Ovis aries: one gene and its partner. The protein of the gene in region 2 purifies or fractionates together with the protein of the main gene of each other region. This does not show direct contact. Links are inferred from orthologs where the notes say so. Each region holds a gene or a part of one and is shown on either strand. Other genes may lie near its edges.

The links.
Region 1: the proteins of GNG8 (region 2) and GNB5 purify together in Homo sapiens (co-immunoprecipitation; 3 studies listed by BioGRID and IntAct, with this or other methods). This does not show direct contact. The link is inferred for Ovis aries from reciprocal best matches to the Homo sapiens genes GNG8 and GNB5.

The regions. Positions count from the first base shown.
Region 1 is NC_056060.1:56,349,403-56,357,764, reverse strand, and holds part of GNB5 (guanine nucleotide-binding protein subunit beta-5), read right to left. Parts: intron 7,174-8,362; coding exon 7,041-7,173; intron 3,832-7,040; coding exon 3,688-3,831; intron 1,888-3,687; coding exon 1,796-1,887; intron 1-1,795. UniProt on the Homo sapiens protein: Enhances GTPase-activating protein (GAP) activity of regulator of G protein signaling (RGS) proteins, such as RGS7 and RGS9, hence involved in the termination of the signaling initiated by the G protein coupled receptors (GPCRs) by accelerating the GTP hydrolysis on the G-alpha subunits, thereby promoting their inactivation.
Region 2 is NC_056067.1:53,538,581-53,547,713, forward strand, and holds GNG8 (guanine nucleotide-binding protein G(I)/G(S)/G(O) subunit gamma-8), read right to left. Parts: upstream 5,627-9,133; 5' UTR 5,554-5,626; intron 3,420-5,553; exon of another isoform or gene 2,486-3,419; 5' UTR 2,191-2,485; coding exon 2,107-2,190; intron 1,664-2,106; coding exon 1,535-1,663; 3' UTR 1,417-1,534; downstream 1-1,416. UniProt on the Homo sapiens protein: Guanine nucleotide-binding proteins (G proteins) are involved as a modulator or transducer in various transmembrane signaling systems.

The DNA of each region.
Region 1 (8,362 bases), on a different chromosome or scaffold from region 2:
GTGAGGAAGATAATGTACATTTCCTAAAGACTGAATAAGACAGTATACACAAAAAACATGGTATGGGGCCAGATAAAATGCATGCAACAAATGATATTATTACTGTTACAGTCCTCCTCTCCTCAATAATCAGGCCATCTGGAGAGAGGGTACTGTAAGTTGAAACCTGATGAACATTAGAAGAGGGTTCTGGGTTGAGGGAACAGTATGGGTGAGAGAATATACAATTTTAAGTTGTTATTTCATGAATATATAGGAATTTATTTTTGTAGCTTTATAGTCTATCCCTGTATCTTAATAACTTCACCTACTGTAGTAATTTCTCAAATTATTTCCTTGGATTTTCTAGGTACTCTCTACACATCTGCAAAAACTGATAGTTTTTTTCCCCTTCCTACATTTAAGGTCAGTGAGCTAGAAAATTCTTATTAACATTTCTACTAATAAAGTAATTATTCTTACTGTGTTCTAGCTTTTAAGGGGAATAATTCTAGTGCTTTCCCCTAAGTAAAATGAAGATTCTTCAGTGGTTATACTTTAAATGTTGTCCTGATGGTGCCATCTTCCAAATGGATATGTTAAGTCCTGACCTCTCTCTTGGAATCCAGTTCAGAGATCTGGCTACCTACTTGACATCTCCACTTGGTCATACAACAGCATCTCAAGCTTGGCTAGCCCAAGACAGAACTCCAGAAGCCATGTGCAACCATTGCCTTCTCCCTGCAGTGCTTCCAACTCTCCCAGTTTTAGCAAATGGATCAGTGTTTATGTCCTTTATAAAAGATTCAGGTTCCCTGAGCTCAGGGTTCTCCTCCTGAAATGCAACCCCTTGCACATGCAGGTGTCATTTAGTCCTTTTCATGTCACCCTGTGATACTGGAGCTTGGATAACTAGCATAGCTACTACCATCACTATTAGTAATCAACTATCCTTCATCTCTAACCCAGGAATCTTGTGCCTTTTACCAGCACCCATGAAACTCTGGCAGCCTTACTTGATGGCCTGCAATTAGGGTAAAATCTCAAATCCTTCCCAATTCTAGACATTTCTATCCTCACTGTGTCTTCTTTGGTTTCAGCCACCATCATTTCTATCTGGAACTCACACAACAGCCTTCTAACTGGCCATAATACTTCCATTCTCATTCCCCTACAATGCATTCTCCATACAGCAGCCAGAGTGATCTTTTAAAGACAAAACATGCATCATGTTAGCCACCTCAAGTGGTCACCTGGTCTTTTGTTAGGTCCCTGAGCATCTCATCTCCCTGATCCTCCTCCCAGCTCTTTGAATGCCTGGGTCCTTCACTATCCTGGTATCAATTTAAACATCAATTTCTCAGAGATGCTTGACCAGTCAAAGAAATAACCTATCTCCATCACAGTTCCCTGTTTTACTTTTCAATGAAACTTATCAGTATTTTTGTACACTGCACATTTATCTGTGCTTTGTCTTGTTTGTCTTCTATAGGAAAGTAGAAATTTTTATCTTGTTTAAAACAGTATTCCCAGTTCCTGGAATAATGTTCAGCAGATAAGTACTTAATAAATATTGGTTGAATGAATGAACAAAAAACACTGACTTCGTTTAGACAGGAAATAGCCATTGCCCCTGGTGCAATTACATTGAAATTCTCCAAGAAATCTGGAGTACTGATCGGTCTCACCACACACCAGCTGTTATTGCTGGAAAAGCCTCTCTCAGCAAAGTAAATTGAGGCTGGAGGCTAAGCATTAGCCCAGGCCGGGAGACAGTGGAAAATAGAGAAGCTATGTGAACATTCTACTCACGGACCGGACACTATTGATGTCAGATTCGTGTGTTTCAAAGGCCTGCACGCACTGTCCAGAGCGCATGTCCCACACCATGGCTTTCTTGTCACATCCCTGCAAACGCAAAGTTGCCCAGAGTTATGACTACTGCAAGGACTGCCCACACACAGGTATGAGTTCTCGTTATATCACAGAGATCGTTCAGTTCCCATTAGTAAACGGCTCTGACAACGTGCTTTTTTTTTTTTCTGAGACTAGCTTTATTTAAGGCCACTTCCCTCTGACCTCAGGAGGTCAGAGCTAGGTCCTGGGGTAGGGGAAGCAAAAGAAAGTACCCAGACACCCTTTTTATAGCACGTTTTCTTCTCTGCCATCTTTCTTAATGGCTGCAAGTTCTCCAGGGCCTCCTTCTCCCCTTCCTCCTAGGCATTTCTCTTCATGTTTCCCCCTCCTCTCTATCTCTGCTTCTATAAGGCCAGAGGGGAGGGCAAGTGGAGAGTGGGGATGGTGGGACCTCCCAGGCTTGCCTCAGGTGTGTGGGGCAGCCTGAACACAGGTGGCCAGCCAGGTGCTTCTGGCCAGCTATAGCCCAGCAGCCTAGTCAGGGGGGTGCCCATAGTCAGCTGGGTGGCTCAGGCAAGTCACTTCCCTGGGTTTCCACCTCAACACCTATAAAATGAACCCTCTCTGGGTAGCTAACATGATCCAGAGAATCAAAAACACCAAGTTTATGCATAGCATCCTGCTTCTAAGAGCATTTTGATAAATTTCTGCAGAGCAGTCTGTGATCAACCATGAGCAGCATAATTAGATTCTCAAAGGACAAACAGAAGGAAAAATGGGTTAAAATTAGATTGCTGGTTTCAACTCAGAGGAAGGGGTGGGTGAGGTACCATACTGATGTTTCAGAAAGACCTGCAATGGGGATTCAACTCTCCAACATCTTTACTGAGAATGTGGACAAAGGAATCAGAGTGTCTTCAAATCTTTGGAGGACCCTAAACCATGAAGTTTAGTACTCTGAAAGAGAGAATACGATCTATAATGATATCAACAATCTGAAAAAACAGTGTAGTTGATTGGAGATGATAAATACAGTTATACAAAGACATGGGAATTAAACTTACATAGATGGGGCCAAATATCCAAGAAAAAAATCAGGGTCCCTGCCAATTAGAGGCTTCACAACCCTCATCTGAGGTCCAGAACTAAGAGGTGGGCAGCTTGGAACAAAGGGCCTTTATGTCTTCCAGTTGCAAGCATCATTAGATGGTGTCTGCATCTCTGTCCCCTCCCACCACTGACTCTTGACAGAGATGAGACAGGACCACGGTCAGATCAGCCAGCTCAGTTCTCCACACTTATTCCCAGATGTCCTAGAAATACTTGTCTCTCTTACTTGCATAAAACACTGGAAACTCTTCCCTCTACTATTCATAATACAGTAGAATATATGGGGAGGTGGGGGGCCAATGCTTTTGTGCCTTCTGCACAATTTACAAAGGATGAAATGTGGAGTCAGGCAGCAAAGGTGGGTCCCAGGTGTCCTAACTCCTCGCTGGTGCTCCTTTGCCATGATGGCCTGCCTGCCCAACTCAGCCTTCAGACACACTGTTCCCTGTGCCTGGGAGCTGGAGGGGCTGGAGGCTGGCAGGGGTGGGCTGGGAGAGTGTCCCACTCGTGCCAAAGCCCTGATCGCACCACAGCTATGCCTCACCGCTGTTTCTGCCTGAGCTGCCTGGTGCCCTGGCTGCTGTCTCTACTGCTCTCGGATGCCGACTCTCTGCTACTCAGCCAAGGAGTCTCAGCCCCGCTCCAGGGGTGTCCCGTTTAGTCCCACAGATTGACAGGAAGTGCCACCCTGAGGCTCCCTGGTGGACAGAGGGCTCCTAGAGATCTTCCTGGGATCTTTACCCCAGACACGAAGGTGTTCCCAGTTTCTGATGGGGCCAGGTCCAGGCAGAGCACGTCGGCCCCATGCCCATGGAAGCTCTGCAGCAACTGCCCGCTCTCCACATCCCACAGGGCACATGTGCCGTCGCCACTCGCCGTCAGGATCTGCCGCCGGAAAGCACAGGAAGGGTGTCATTAGGGCCTCTGGGGAAGCCAAGCAGTCACTTGCAGTTCCACAGGGAAGAGAAGGCTCCACACACACACACACACACACACACACACACACACACACACACCCCTGCTTAATCTGGACTCTAGCACAGAACTCTTTCTCCAGTACCGAGAAAGACAGCCCATTTTTGACACCCTTGCTGTCGTGAGCTGTTTACATACCTGTCCTCTTGCAGAGGATGAAATCTGGAGGCCTTCCTGCAGTACCTGCCTGCCTGACACGTAGGAAGCGCTCTGTGAACACCTGCTGAACAGAACCCCCAGCGGGTCCCACAGGCAGCCAAGCCTACCACTGAGCTTCCCAGACATTAACGTGCGCCCCACACCCAGAGGCTCCCTGGCCCACTGAGTGGTGTGGACACACACGTGCAGGGCCAAGGCCTTTGCTGTGTGCTGACCACGTCCAGGCCCTCCACTAGGTGGCAGGGCTGAAGAAAGACCGTGCCTTGGTCGCTGCTCTCCTGGAGCTCCATTAACAGGCCTGGCAGGAAACCCATTTGACTCCCTGTCACCGTGTTAATCAATTCCAGGGCAAGCCACACTTTCCCAGTGCTGCATTAGACAATACTGAAACCAACTAAAAATAAACTAGCTGCTTGCTCCAGGAAATAACCTGATCCTATGAGATAAGACTCTGAACTAACTAAACAACTTACTTATCAGGACTAATAGCTTTGTAAAAAATTAATGAAACAGAGTGTGCTGTGCTAAGTCACTTTAGTCATGTCTGATTCCTTGTGACTCCAAGGACTATAGCCCACCAGGCTTCTCTTTCCATGGGTTTCTCCAGGCAAGAATACTGGAGTGGGTTGCCATTCCCTTCTCCAGGGAATCTTCCGGACCCAGGGATTGAGCCTAGGTCTTCATTGCAGGCAGATTCTTTATCTTATCATCTGAGACACCAGGAAAGTCCTCAGTCTAGCTCTTTAATGGAAATTTTTCCTGGCATACTCTTTGATCAAAGAAATGAATAGTTTTTAAACGTTAACAGTAAATTCTTAATCTTTAAAATATTTTAAATACTTGTAATCTTCATTATAATGTAAGTAAAAATAAAATTTAAAAATCAAACATTCATAATGATAAATGCACTAAACAGATCCTCTAACTCCACTGTCACTCATTTATTTTAGGATGCAGAGAACCTGCAGGTCTTATACCAGCCTTTTGAGGTTTCCATTTTTCATCCTAGATCCCAGGGCTGGAAGGAGGCTTAGTTCATGAGTTCAGTGGTACCCAAAAAAGGCCATACATCTGAATCACCTGTGAAGCTTTGTGTTAATAATAAAATAATAAAAGCTAGCATTTATTGATATTTACCAAGGTTTATATCAAGTACTTCTGGAGAAGGAAATGGCAACCCACTGCAGTATTCTTGCCTGGGAAATCCTATGGACAGAGGAGCCTGGTGGGCTACAGTTCATGGGGTTTCAAAAGAGTCAGACACAATTTAGCTACTAAGCAACAACACTAAGTACTTTACATGAATCATCTCATTTAACCCTCAGAAAACCTCATGAGGGAGGAATATACTACCATCCTCCCTTGCAAGTGAGAAAAACGAAACACAGAGGATAATAAAACCTTATTTAGAATTGACCAGCTAGAACATCAGACTAAACGTCTTCTGTTGCTTTGGCTGCTCCTCACACCCAAAGACGTGAGGAACGGCCAGGGCCACCGTGCCCCCTCCTGCACAGACCTGCGAGACTCCTGGTGGCAAGGAACAGGGGTAAACACTGCCCTCCCAATCAGAACACTGTCCCCAGACAGCAGCCAAACAATTTCCCATCACCAGGTCTCCCTACCACTACCCTTGCTGGCCCGCCTCCTGACATCACTCAGCTGAAACCAGAACGGGCTTTAGTCGGACTCACACAGTCTCCTCCTTCAAATAAACCCAACCTGCCCCAGCCCCTGCAATGGCCGCCTACCGTCTATAGGGTCCGCTCCACCATGCAGGGCATGTAACCTAGCCCTCCTACCTCTCAGGCTGCCTGCCTCCCACAGCGCTCCCCTCATACCACACTGGCAACACACTGTCCGCCAAGGCAGCCTCTCAAGGCATGTTTATGACCCCCTACTCCTGCTCCAGGCTCCCAGCCTCCCTGCTGTGCAGCCACCACTGGTAGCTGGCCACGTGGGTGGTGGCATCTATGAGGGTTTGCTGGAGAGACGTGACAAAGGCAGTGTAGGATGTTTAGGATTCTGAAAGAAAACGCAGCCTACGTATTACCTCCACTTTGTGGCTTATTCAAAGTAGGGTACAGATTTTCTATATGAAGCCTTCTTTTTTCCCATTTGTTAAAACAGAAGTCTAATATAGGTACAATGAGGTGTGCCAAGTGCACAACTCTGAAAGTCAGCACCCAGTGAAATTCTATACACAGAAGGACCTTGGGACCACTTCTCTGACTCAAGAAAGGAATTTCCACCACCCCAGAAGGTTCCCTGATCCACTCCCACCCCCACCAACTCAATTAGAGGAGGAGGTTTGATATGGCAAGGAATTCATTTCAACTGTACCAACAATCAATAGCCCCGACTTTACCTATTTCTGATTTTATTAAAAACAGTAATGTAACTAGGAGTTCCCTGGTGGGCTAGTGGTTTGGATTCCATACTTTCATCATTGTGGCCTGGGTTCAATCCCTGGTTGGGGAACTGAGATTCAGCAAGCCATGTGGTGTGGCCAAAATTATAATATATATTCTATTTGGCCTTCCTAGGTGGCACTAGTGGTAAAGAACTCGCCTGCCAATGCAGTAGACATGAGACAGGGGTTCAATCCCTGGGTTTAACGATCCCCTGGAGGAGGGCATGGCAACCCACTCTAGCACTCTTGCCTAGAGAATCCCATGGACAGAGGAGCCTGGTGGGATATGATCACAGGGTTGCAAAGAGTCAACTAAAGTGACTTAGCCTTCTATATAAAATTATATATATATATAAATTATAGTACATATAAAACCAGTGAGAAGCAACAGGAGCTTCCTCTTAGGGCCAACTGCTGGAGCATACACATTCTCCCGTAAAGAGGGATACTGGAACAGTTTCCTCACCTGCACCCCCTCTTTAGTTCTCTGAGACCGAACTCGCTCCCCCTGCAGGCTGGCGCATCATCACCCAGGCCCCTGATTTACCTGCATGTCAGAGTTGGTGAAGCTGCAGGCCGATAGGTAGTTGGTGTGCATAGCAACAGACTTCTTTTTGGCAGCCATGTTTTCATTTTTGTCAAATGTCAGTGGATACACAGAACATTTATTATCCAAACCACTAGCAGGGAAAGAAAGAAGTGTCAAATGTTAATACAGGGCAATAGAACATGTGTATACTTTCTCATTCACACATACTTTCAAAATGTTTTCCTTTGGCAGTATTATATGTTGTAACCTATCCCTAAACTTTTACTTTGAATATTTAAAAATGGATAGTAAAACTGAAAGAAAAATAGTACAATGAACTCCCAGATCCCTTCACATGAATTCGCTAACTTAACATTTTGTTGCATTTGTGGGAGCAAATTCTGAACCATTCGAATGCAAGTTGCAGATATGACATACTACATCTAAATACTTCAATCTGCAAATTACATTTCCTAAAAATAAGACCATTCCTTTATAATCACTAACTCATTATCACATCTGAGAAAACTAACAAAAATTCCATAACACCATGTAGTAAGCCATCCATATTCAATTTCCCAAGGATCTCAAGGATCCAGAGCCCAAATAGGTCTACACATTACATTCTGTTTTTATATCTTTTTAAGATCCTTTAATGGAGAAGGAAATGGCAATCCACTCCAGTCTTCTTGCCTGGAGAATCCCAGGGACAGAGGAGCCTGGGGGGCTGCAGTCCATGGGGTTGCAAAGAGTCAGACACGACTAAATGACTAAACAACAACAAGATCTTTTAATGGAGGACAGACACAGCTTTTGACGTTTATAATGAGACTTCATTAGGTCAGTTGTCTTACAGAATGTCACACAGTCTGGATTTGTCGTGTTGGGAATGGCTACCTACTCCAGTATTCTTGCCTGGAGAATTCCATGGACAGAGGAGGCTGGTGCGCTACAGTCCATGGGGTCACAAAGCGCTGGACAGGACAGAGCCACTAACACTTTCACTTTTATTAATGTTACTTTTAAGTATAACATTTTTAGCAATAATATAAATGTGCTATATAAAGGTGATACTGTGTATTTCTTTCTTACTGCTTCACTTTAAGAGGCTTGCCATGCCTCTCATCCCAAGATTGGTGATGCCAACTTTGATTACTTGGTCAAAGTGGGGACCACAAGATCTTTCCACAGTAAGGGTGACTGGCTGGTGATTACAAGCATACCTTGTTTTACTGCATTTTGCATTTTTTACAAATTGAAGGTTTGTGGCAACCCTTGCCTCAAGCAAGTCTATCAGTGTAATTTTTCCAACAGCAATTTGCTCACTTCATGTCTCTGTG
Region 2 (9,133 bases):
CCAACCAGGTTAAATAATTAAGCCCATAGCTCACCCAGTCTGCATTTCTTTATTTTCAACAGAATCATGGGTTCAAGGCATTTTACCTTTCTCTTCATTTCTCTGTAAGAAGCTCCTGGCACAGGCTCTGTGGTAAATAGTGTCTGATCCCCAGTGTCCCTCACTGGGAGACAATAGTGTGTGGTGGGGATTTTGGCAAACTGGAAAGCCAGGGCCCCATATCATAGCCTCTGGTCACCCTGGAGATTGTGCAGTTCTAAGGTCACCCAGACCTTCCAAATGGAAGAAGCCATCAAGGTGGGCATTTATGTGAAGTACTCTCATTTAACTGCCGGCATGTAGGTCCTAAAAGGGCTTCCCTGGTGGCTCAGTGGTAATGAATTTGCCTGCAATGAAGGAGACATGGGTTCATTCCCTAGGTGGGGAAGATTCCCTGGAGAAGGAAGTGGCTACCCACTCCAGTATTCTTGCCTGGAATATCACATGGACAGAGGAGCCTGGTGGGCCACAGTCCATGGGGTCCCAAAAAGTCAGACACAACTTAGCAGCTAAACAGCAAATACAGGTCCTGGAAATCACCAGTGTATGAAGTGGGAAACACAGAAGAGGAATCAGGGCTGTCACCGTAATCCATGTCCTCAGAAAAAAGGAAATAGAAAAGAATGTACGTACTGATTTGTCTCCTGTAGCCTCACTTCTCTCTTCTCTACCCCATGTTTAATTCCCACCCTGTACCAGCTCAGATGTCCCCTCCTCCAGGAAGCCCTCCCTGACCTTCAAGCTGAGTCAGGCCTTCCCTCTGAATTCCCCCATCCCAGCTCTGCCCACTCTGAATCATCACTATCCCAGGACAGCTCTATCACTCCCACTGGATTCTGAACCCCAGGAACCCGGGGCCAGGGCTGTCTTGGTAGTGTCCATGACCCCTGTTTCAACTATTACAGGTCCAGGAGTGTTTGGAAGAATGAATAAAGGAACAGGGACAAGTTCAGTGCTTGTGGGGGTGGGGCTGTGGTAGGGAGTAGGCCCATGTGTAAAAAGGGGTTGTAATCATTCAGGGGACGAAAAAGGTGGGTACTGGGTATTCTAAAGACCTCCAGCCCAGGAGAGAGGCAAGAAGAGCCGCCAGCCGAGAGGTTCAGGGAGCAGGAGCGTCCAGTCTTCACCCCATTATCTCTTAGCTTGTGACTCTGAGTAAGGGACCTCCTTTGGCTCAGTTTCCTCATATACGTAGCCAATTGCTTTCTGGGGCTGTTGGGATGATTAAATCAATTCAGGATCGCGGGAACACTCCGTGGAGGCCAGAGCCAGGAAGTAGGATGTCCTCTGATAATCCCCCTGCCCTGCATCCACATAACCTCGCCCCACACCCCCACACTCCACACACACGAAGAAGGAATGAGAAGGGACACGGGCTCCTCCATGGTGGCCCCAGGTTCTGCATGTGCCTCAGTTTCCCCGAGAGCACAGGCACCCCCGCAGTCACCACGTTTATTGGATTCATATTTTGACGGGGTAGGGGGGTCGGGAGGGCTCAGAGCAGGACGCAGAAGAGGCGCTTGTCTCGGAAGGGGTTCTCTGCGGCGGGTACCGGCGTCACCAGCGGGTCATCTTTGGCGTGAGTCTCGCAGAAGGCCAGGAGCTCGGCCGCTGCCTGCGACACCTGCGGGCACCCAGGGGAAGATGTCCACGCCCACCCCCGCCCCGCCCCGCCCCGCCCCGCCCCGCCCCCCCCCGCCCCGCCCCGCACCGCCCGCCCCGCCCCGCCCCGCCCGCCCCGCCCCGCCCCGCCCCACCCGCCCCCGCCCCGCCCCTGCCTGGGCCACGCCCCCTGCCTGGGCCCTTCCTCTAGTCAGGCCCGCCCCCGTCAGGCTCCGCCCCCGTGTCCAGGCCTCTCCTATTGCCAGCCCCCGCCCTTAGGCCCCGCCCCCTCTCGGTCCAGCCCCCTTGTCCAGCCGCTCCCCACCCTCCACCCCCTATCCTTGGAGTCCAGTCCCGTTCCGAAGGGGATCTTTCCACCCGGGCTCCCGGCTCCACTCCCAAGTCTGACCAGTCCAGACTCCAGCCCCGGAGCCCGCGGCCTTCCTCCCCAGCCCGACCCAGCACCTTCATGCGGTCGATGTTCACCTCCAGCTTCAGCTGCTCCACGGTCTTCCGGGCCTCCGCGATCTTGGCCATGTTGTTGGACATGGCTGCGGCGGGGAAAGGTTAAAAGCCGGTGGGAGTGGGGGCGAAGGAGTAGGCTAGGGCAAAGGTGGGTCCCCAGATAGGGTTGGCGGTGGCGGTGGAACCCACTAATAGGGGCGTGCGTGGAAGGGCTCACCGATGCGGTGCCCAGAGTGGAGGAAGAGACAGGAAAACAGAAGGAAAGGGGAGCGATGGAGATCTGCGCAGATGGGGGGCCAAGAAGCCGGCCGAAAGGGGGACCTAGGAACAGGGACGAGCAGGCCAAGAGAAGGCTTGGAGGGGTGCACAGATGGGGTACCTAGAGGCAGGTGAAGGAGGGAAGAGAGGGAAGGCAGGAGGGAAGCACAGACGGGAGGCCGAGAGGCAGGGGGAGGGAGGGACAGAGGACAGGGACACAGGTGTTAGATCCAGAGATCCAGGTGTCCTCGCCTCCCGGGGAGAGCGCAAGAGCCAGGAGGGGGCCCTCCCCAGGCCAATTAGCAGGGCCTCCCCGGAGAAGAGGGAATTAAGATCACCGCGGGAGGGGCCAGAGGGGGCCTCATTAGGGCCTTGGCAGCAGCTGCCCCCTCCGCCCCCCTCGGGGAGCCCCCCATCCCAACCCTGGCCACCTCAAAGGCTCCTCTGCTCATTAGCAGCCTTAGAAAGGGCTGGAGAGGGGGGCAACACAGCCAGGACTGGGAGAGGGACAGGGAGGATTGCGACAGAGAGGAGCAGAGAGAGATGGGGAGAGGGAGGGGGAATAAAGAGACTGAGGGAGAGAAAGATGGAGAGACAGGCGGGTGGGACAGAGTGCTGAAGGGAGTGGAGACAGGGAGAGAGGGGTGTGAGGAGAGAGGCAGAGTGCTATGGGAGAGAGAAGCACAGCGCGGACCAAAGCACAGAGGGAGGAAAAAGAAGGGGCGACAGGAGGCTGAGGGAGAGATGGAGTGACGGAGGTGGGCGAGAGTAGACAGAAGGGCAACTAGAGCGCTAGAGGCAGGGGGAGAGAGGGGAGAAAGGCAGGGAACAGAGAGAAAGAAGTGGAGGGGCAGGAGGGGACCCAGAGTGATGAAAAAGGACAGAGGAGGGCACACGGAGAGACAGAGGGAAAGGCAGGCTGAGGGAGATGAGCAAGGATAAAGTCACTCATCCGCTCGCGCATTCACTCGTTCCCAGGCAGAGGGACCAGCTGTCGGGGTTCAGGACCACAGCCTCCTACCTGTTGCTGCTCAGGGCTGGGAAGGCAGGCGGGTGGCAGAGACACAGCGTCTGTACCCACCTCGGTTCTGCCCCGCCCCCTCTCCTGGGGCACAGCCCCTGAGGACCCGCCTCCTCCTGCTACGCCACCAGCATGCCCCTCGCCCTCGAGTCCTGTCTCTCTGGGTCCTCTCATTACATCTGTCCGTCTCTCTTTGTCTTTGTGTGTCCGTCTCTCTCTTCCTTTCTCTCTCTCTCTGTGTCAGTCTCCCTTTTCAATCTCTGTCTCTGTCTCCGTCACACTCACACACACACACACACACACACACACACACACACACTCACAGGAAAAGAGTCTTAGGATGAGCCCCCCCCCAACCCCACTCTGCCGCATTTATCCCACAGTCATCCAGATCTCTCCTGTGCGTTCACACAGCCTCACACTCCATTACATACGCTCGGCCACCCTGTCACACCCACAACCTCCGTGTCACCCCACCCCAAATAATGCCCTCTCAGCACACAGAGTCACACTCACAGTCCCTCGCAGAGATGCCTCACATGATGCTGCGTACAGTCTCCTGAACCACCCTAACCTTTCGCGGCGCCACAGTCATGTCACACGGTCCCTCACGATCTCTCTGAGAGGCCCATCACCACCAGTGACATCTTACACAACCACAGTCAGAGGGACAACCTCTGAGCGTCAGGTGTAGAGACACACACGCGCAGTTCCACACAGGACCACACGCAACCTCTCAAGATGTCTTGCTGAGCCTCACACAGTCTGTATCACACACAGGTGCTGCCCTCATACCGCAGCCGCCTGGTGTCACAGCTCACACCCATGCAGTTTTTCTTGCATGCTCATCTGAGCGCCCTGGACAGTTGCACATTCTCTAATGCACTGCCATGACACTCTGCCAGTCTCTCAGGGCCCCACACGATCTGTGTGACACACAGTCACACCCAGCATCTCACACGTCATCACTGTGACTGACACACCCTTGTCGCACACTCACAAGGTCATTCACACTCAGCTTCCCTCCCCACGTCTCTCACACTGCTTCTCACGCCATTACTTGGTGGGCCATTCTCATTCATTCTTGCCGTCTCTCACACACCCTCTCCCCATGGACACACACAACTCTCCCATCCTCACCATATTGCACACTGTCACACACAACCTCTTGCTCACACATGGTCTCTCAATGTCACAGTCCTCCAAATAGTGTCTCAGGGACCCCCAAACTCATGGTGTCACATGCAGTCACCGATACGTCATCTCGGTCACTCACGTAAACGGTCACACACAATGTCTCGGTGTAACACGATTGGAAGAACTGACTCATTTGAAAAGACCCTGACGCTGGGAAAGATTGAAGGCAGGAGGAGAAGGGGACAACAGAGCGTGAGATGGGTGGATGGCATCACCGACTCAATGGACATGAGTTTGAATAAACTCCGGGAGTTGGCGATGGACAGGGAAGCCTGGCATGCTGCAGTGCATGGGGTCGCAAAGCGTCGGACACGACTGAGCGACTGAACTTTACTGAACTGAACACAGTTTCACAGTCACGCCCAGTTTCTGGTTGTCACAGAAAATCTCACAAGGTCACACAGCTACGCACAACCTCTGGACTTCACGCGCGATCTCAGAGTGGTACACACTCACACAGCGAGTGTCACCCATAGTGTCCTGCCCTGAACACACTCGCGGGCGCTGCACACTCAGCCCGCAGTCGTCTCCTGGCAGCTTCCTGCCGGCCACACGGGGGCGCCCGCGGTCCGCCGAACCGCCCACTCCGCCGGCGCCAAAGCCGTAGGAGGTAGAAACCCGGAGGGCAAAGCGCCCCCGCTGGCAAGCTGGGAATTAGAGGTGGGAGAGACACAGAAAGGTGGAGGGAGCTAGAGAAAGCTCACTGAAGATGGACCGGACACAGAAATTCAGAGAGAGGGAGAGAGAGATGCCGGGAGAGACAGAGGCAGAGATAGGGACACAGAGACGGAAATTTGGAGAGATGGGGACCCAGGGACTAAGAGAGACAGAGACAGGCAGAGGGTTGCAGAGACTGAGACGTGCAGGAGAGACACGCAGGCAGAAAAGTACAGTCAGAAACGGTGACTGAGAAACACGGACACCGAGACACAGACAGAAGAGGGTAGAGACACAGACACGACCGACCGCACCCTCCGCAGGGGACCAGACGGCAGAGGCGGAGTCTGCAGAGGCGCTTCCCAGAGGCAAGACCTCTGGGCCGCCAAAGGGGCGTGGAAGTTCGGGGTGGGGGTAGAAGGGGCGTGTTCGGGGCGTGTCTTTGGGGCGTGTCCTGGGTGTGGTTTGCCGCGAGGGGCGGGTCTTGGGACCAGCTCCCGACCTCGCCTCCCTAGCGGGCTGAGGGAGGGGCGGAGGCCGAGCCCCGGGGAGACGTGGAGGTCGCGGAAAGAAGCCTCTTTACTGCAGTCATTCCATCCCAATTCGGTTTTTACTGCCTGAGCAGGGAAGCAAGACCGGCCGGCAGGGGATACGGGCCTGGGTCCCCAATTTGATAGGGGGATATCGGACCCTGGCTCCCCAACCCCCTATCGCGCGGGAGCAGCAGGGCCAGGTTGCGTGGGGGGAGGGGAACTAGGCTCACATCTGGAAAGCATCAGGCGCGCCGGACGTGCCAGGGCCCCGGGCCCGGCTGCGGAAGAGCGGAGGGGAGTTAGGGCGCCCCCGTCCCCCTCCCTTAGCGGGGTCGGCCGGCGCCGGGGAGGGGCCTGGGTTTACGCCTAACCTCGGCGCCTCCCGCAGCTGGTTTCCATCAGCAGTTTTGGCCCGGGCAGCCCCCGAGGAGGAAACACGGCTCAGAGCGGGGAAAGGCAGGGTGACGACCCAATCTTCCCTCCCTGTCTCTAATGGCAGCCAGAGGCTGGGGGCGGGGAGACGGACAGGCGGACGCTGTCTGAACCAAGAGTAACCTCCATTTCTCTTCCCAGTTGCGGACCTTTCCACTCTACGGATTACCTTGGTTTCCAGATGTGCAACCCTGCCCTGTGCTGCAGAGGAATTCCCCAGCCTCATGACAGTGGTACTCCTGATCCCATTTTCTGGAGGGAGAAACTGAGACCCTGGATTGCAGATTCAATTCTGACTTGAATTATTAAAGAAACGGGCGATGACTGCCAACAGTTGATCTAGCATGGAATACCCAGTCCCTACCGGACATTCCATATGAATGTCTGCCGTATGTCAAACTCAGTTGCCCAAAACTGAGCTCCTGAGTCCACCTGCCAAACCCTCTCCTACCACAGTCTTATTCATGTCAGTTGATGGGTCAATCTTAACCCCCCCTCCCTTTCTCACACCCCACAACTGCTCTGGCAACAAATCCCATTAACTCCATCTTCAAAGTCTGTCCACAATCCAGTCACTTCTCACCTCCTCTGCTGCCCCCACTCTGGTCCAGGCACCATGCCCTGCAGCTTGGGCAATTATAGTCCCTACTCACTGGGTCTCCAGCTTCTATTAATACCTCTGTCTCCCTCAGCCTATTCGGCACAGAGCAGCCAGAGGGACCCTGTTTAAAACAAAGTCCCAAGATAACGGTAGCAAGTGCTAGTGAGAATATGGAGACCGTGAGGATGTAAAACGATGCTGCCATTTTAGAAAATAACTCTGGCAGTTCCTCAAAAGATAACAGAGTTACCAGATGATCCGGCAATTCCTCTATTATGTATCTACCTAGGAGAAACGAAAGAATGTAGTCACACAAACACTTTGTATTTGAATGTTCATAGCAGGATTATTCACAAAAGCCCCAAAGTGGAAACAACCCAAATGTTCATCAACTGATAAATGGATAAACTACATGTGGTCTATTCAAACAGTGGAACATCATTTAGCAATAAAAAGAAATGCAGTACTGACATGTGCTACAACATGGATAAACTTTGAAACATTATGCTAAGTGAAATACACAGTTACAAAAGACTATACATTGCGTGACTCCACATGTATTTCCAGAACAGGCCACTCGAAAAGGACAAAAATAGATCTACAAAAGTGGATCCCCACAGGCTGGGGAGACTGTGGGATAACAGATAAGGGATGCAGAGTTTCTACCTGGAGTGATGGAAATGTTCTGAAATTTACTGTGGTGATAATATAATCACAGGACAACTCTGTGACTATAATAAAAGCCATTGATAAAACCTTGATAAAAGACATTGAAGAAGACAGAAATAAATGAAAAGATATCCTGTGTTCATGGACTGGAAGAATTAATATTATTAAGCTGTCCATACTATCCAAAGCAATTGAGAGATTGAGTGCAATCCCTATCAAAATTCCAATGGCATTTTTCACAGAAATAGACCAAACAATTCTACAATGTGTATGAGATCAGGAAAGACCCTAAATAGCCACAGCAATTTTGAGAAAGAAATACAAAGCTGGAGGCATCGTGTGCCCTAATTTCATACTATATTACAATGCTACGGTAATTAAAACAGTATGGTACTGGCACAAAAACAGACACATGGATCAACAGACTAGAATGGGGAGCCCAGAAATAAACTGACGCATACATGGGCAATTAATTTATAATAAAGGAGCCAAGGATATACAACAGAGAAAAGATAGTCTCTTCAATAAATGGTGTTCTGAAAACTCAACAGCCACATGCAGAAGAATGAAACTGGACCCCTATTTTACACCTTATGCAAAAATTAACTCAAATGAATTAAATACTTGAACCTAAGAACTGAAACCACAAAAGTCCCAGGAGAAAACATAAGCAGTATGTTTTGACATCAGATGTGGAGATTTTATTTTTTGGATTTGACACTAAAAGCAAAAATAAATGTTGGACTATATCAAATTAAGTGTTTTTGCACAGGAAATCATCCACAAAATGAAAGGGCCACTTACTGAATGGGGTACATTGCTAACCATGTACAAGATAAGGGATTAACATTCAGAATACATAAAGAACCAGAATACATAAAGAACTAATATCCAAAATATATAAAGAACTCATACAACTCAAAAGCAAAAAGAAAATCTGATTTAAAAATGGGCAGAAGATCTGAATAGACATTTTTCCAAATAAGACATACACATGGCCAACAGGTACATGAAGAGGCGCTCAACATCACTAAACACCAGGGAAAGGCAAATCAAAGCCACAATGAGATATCACATCTATCAGAAAGGCCATCATCAAAAAGACAAGCAATGACAGGTGTCATTCAAGGATGTCAAGAAAAAGGAACCCTGGGGCACTATTCCTAGGCATGTAAGCTGGTGTAGCCACAATGGACAAACAGTATGGAGTTTCCTCAAACAAACAGAACTACCATATGATCCAGCAATTCCACTTCCGGGTACTTATCTAAAGAAGATGAAAACAGTAATTGAAAAGGATACATTCACCCCTATGTTCATTGCAGCATTTCTTACAATAGCCAAGACTGTGGAAGCAACCTAAGTGTCCACTGATGGGAATGAATAAAGAAAACGTGAATTCAATGGAATATTATTCAGGCATAAAAAAGAGGGAAATCTTGCCATTTGTCACAACACGGATGGACAACAGATGACAGAAGTCAGACAGAAAAAGACAAATGCCACGGGGTCTCATTGACATATGGAATCTAAAACCAAAAAGAAGCTTGTAGACACAGAACAGATTGATGGTTGCCTGAGGGGTCGGGGGATGGGCAAAATGGGTGAAGAGAGTCAAAAGCAAATTTCTAGTTGTAAAACAAGTAAGTCATGGGATAT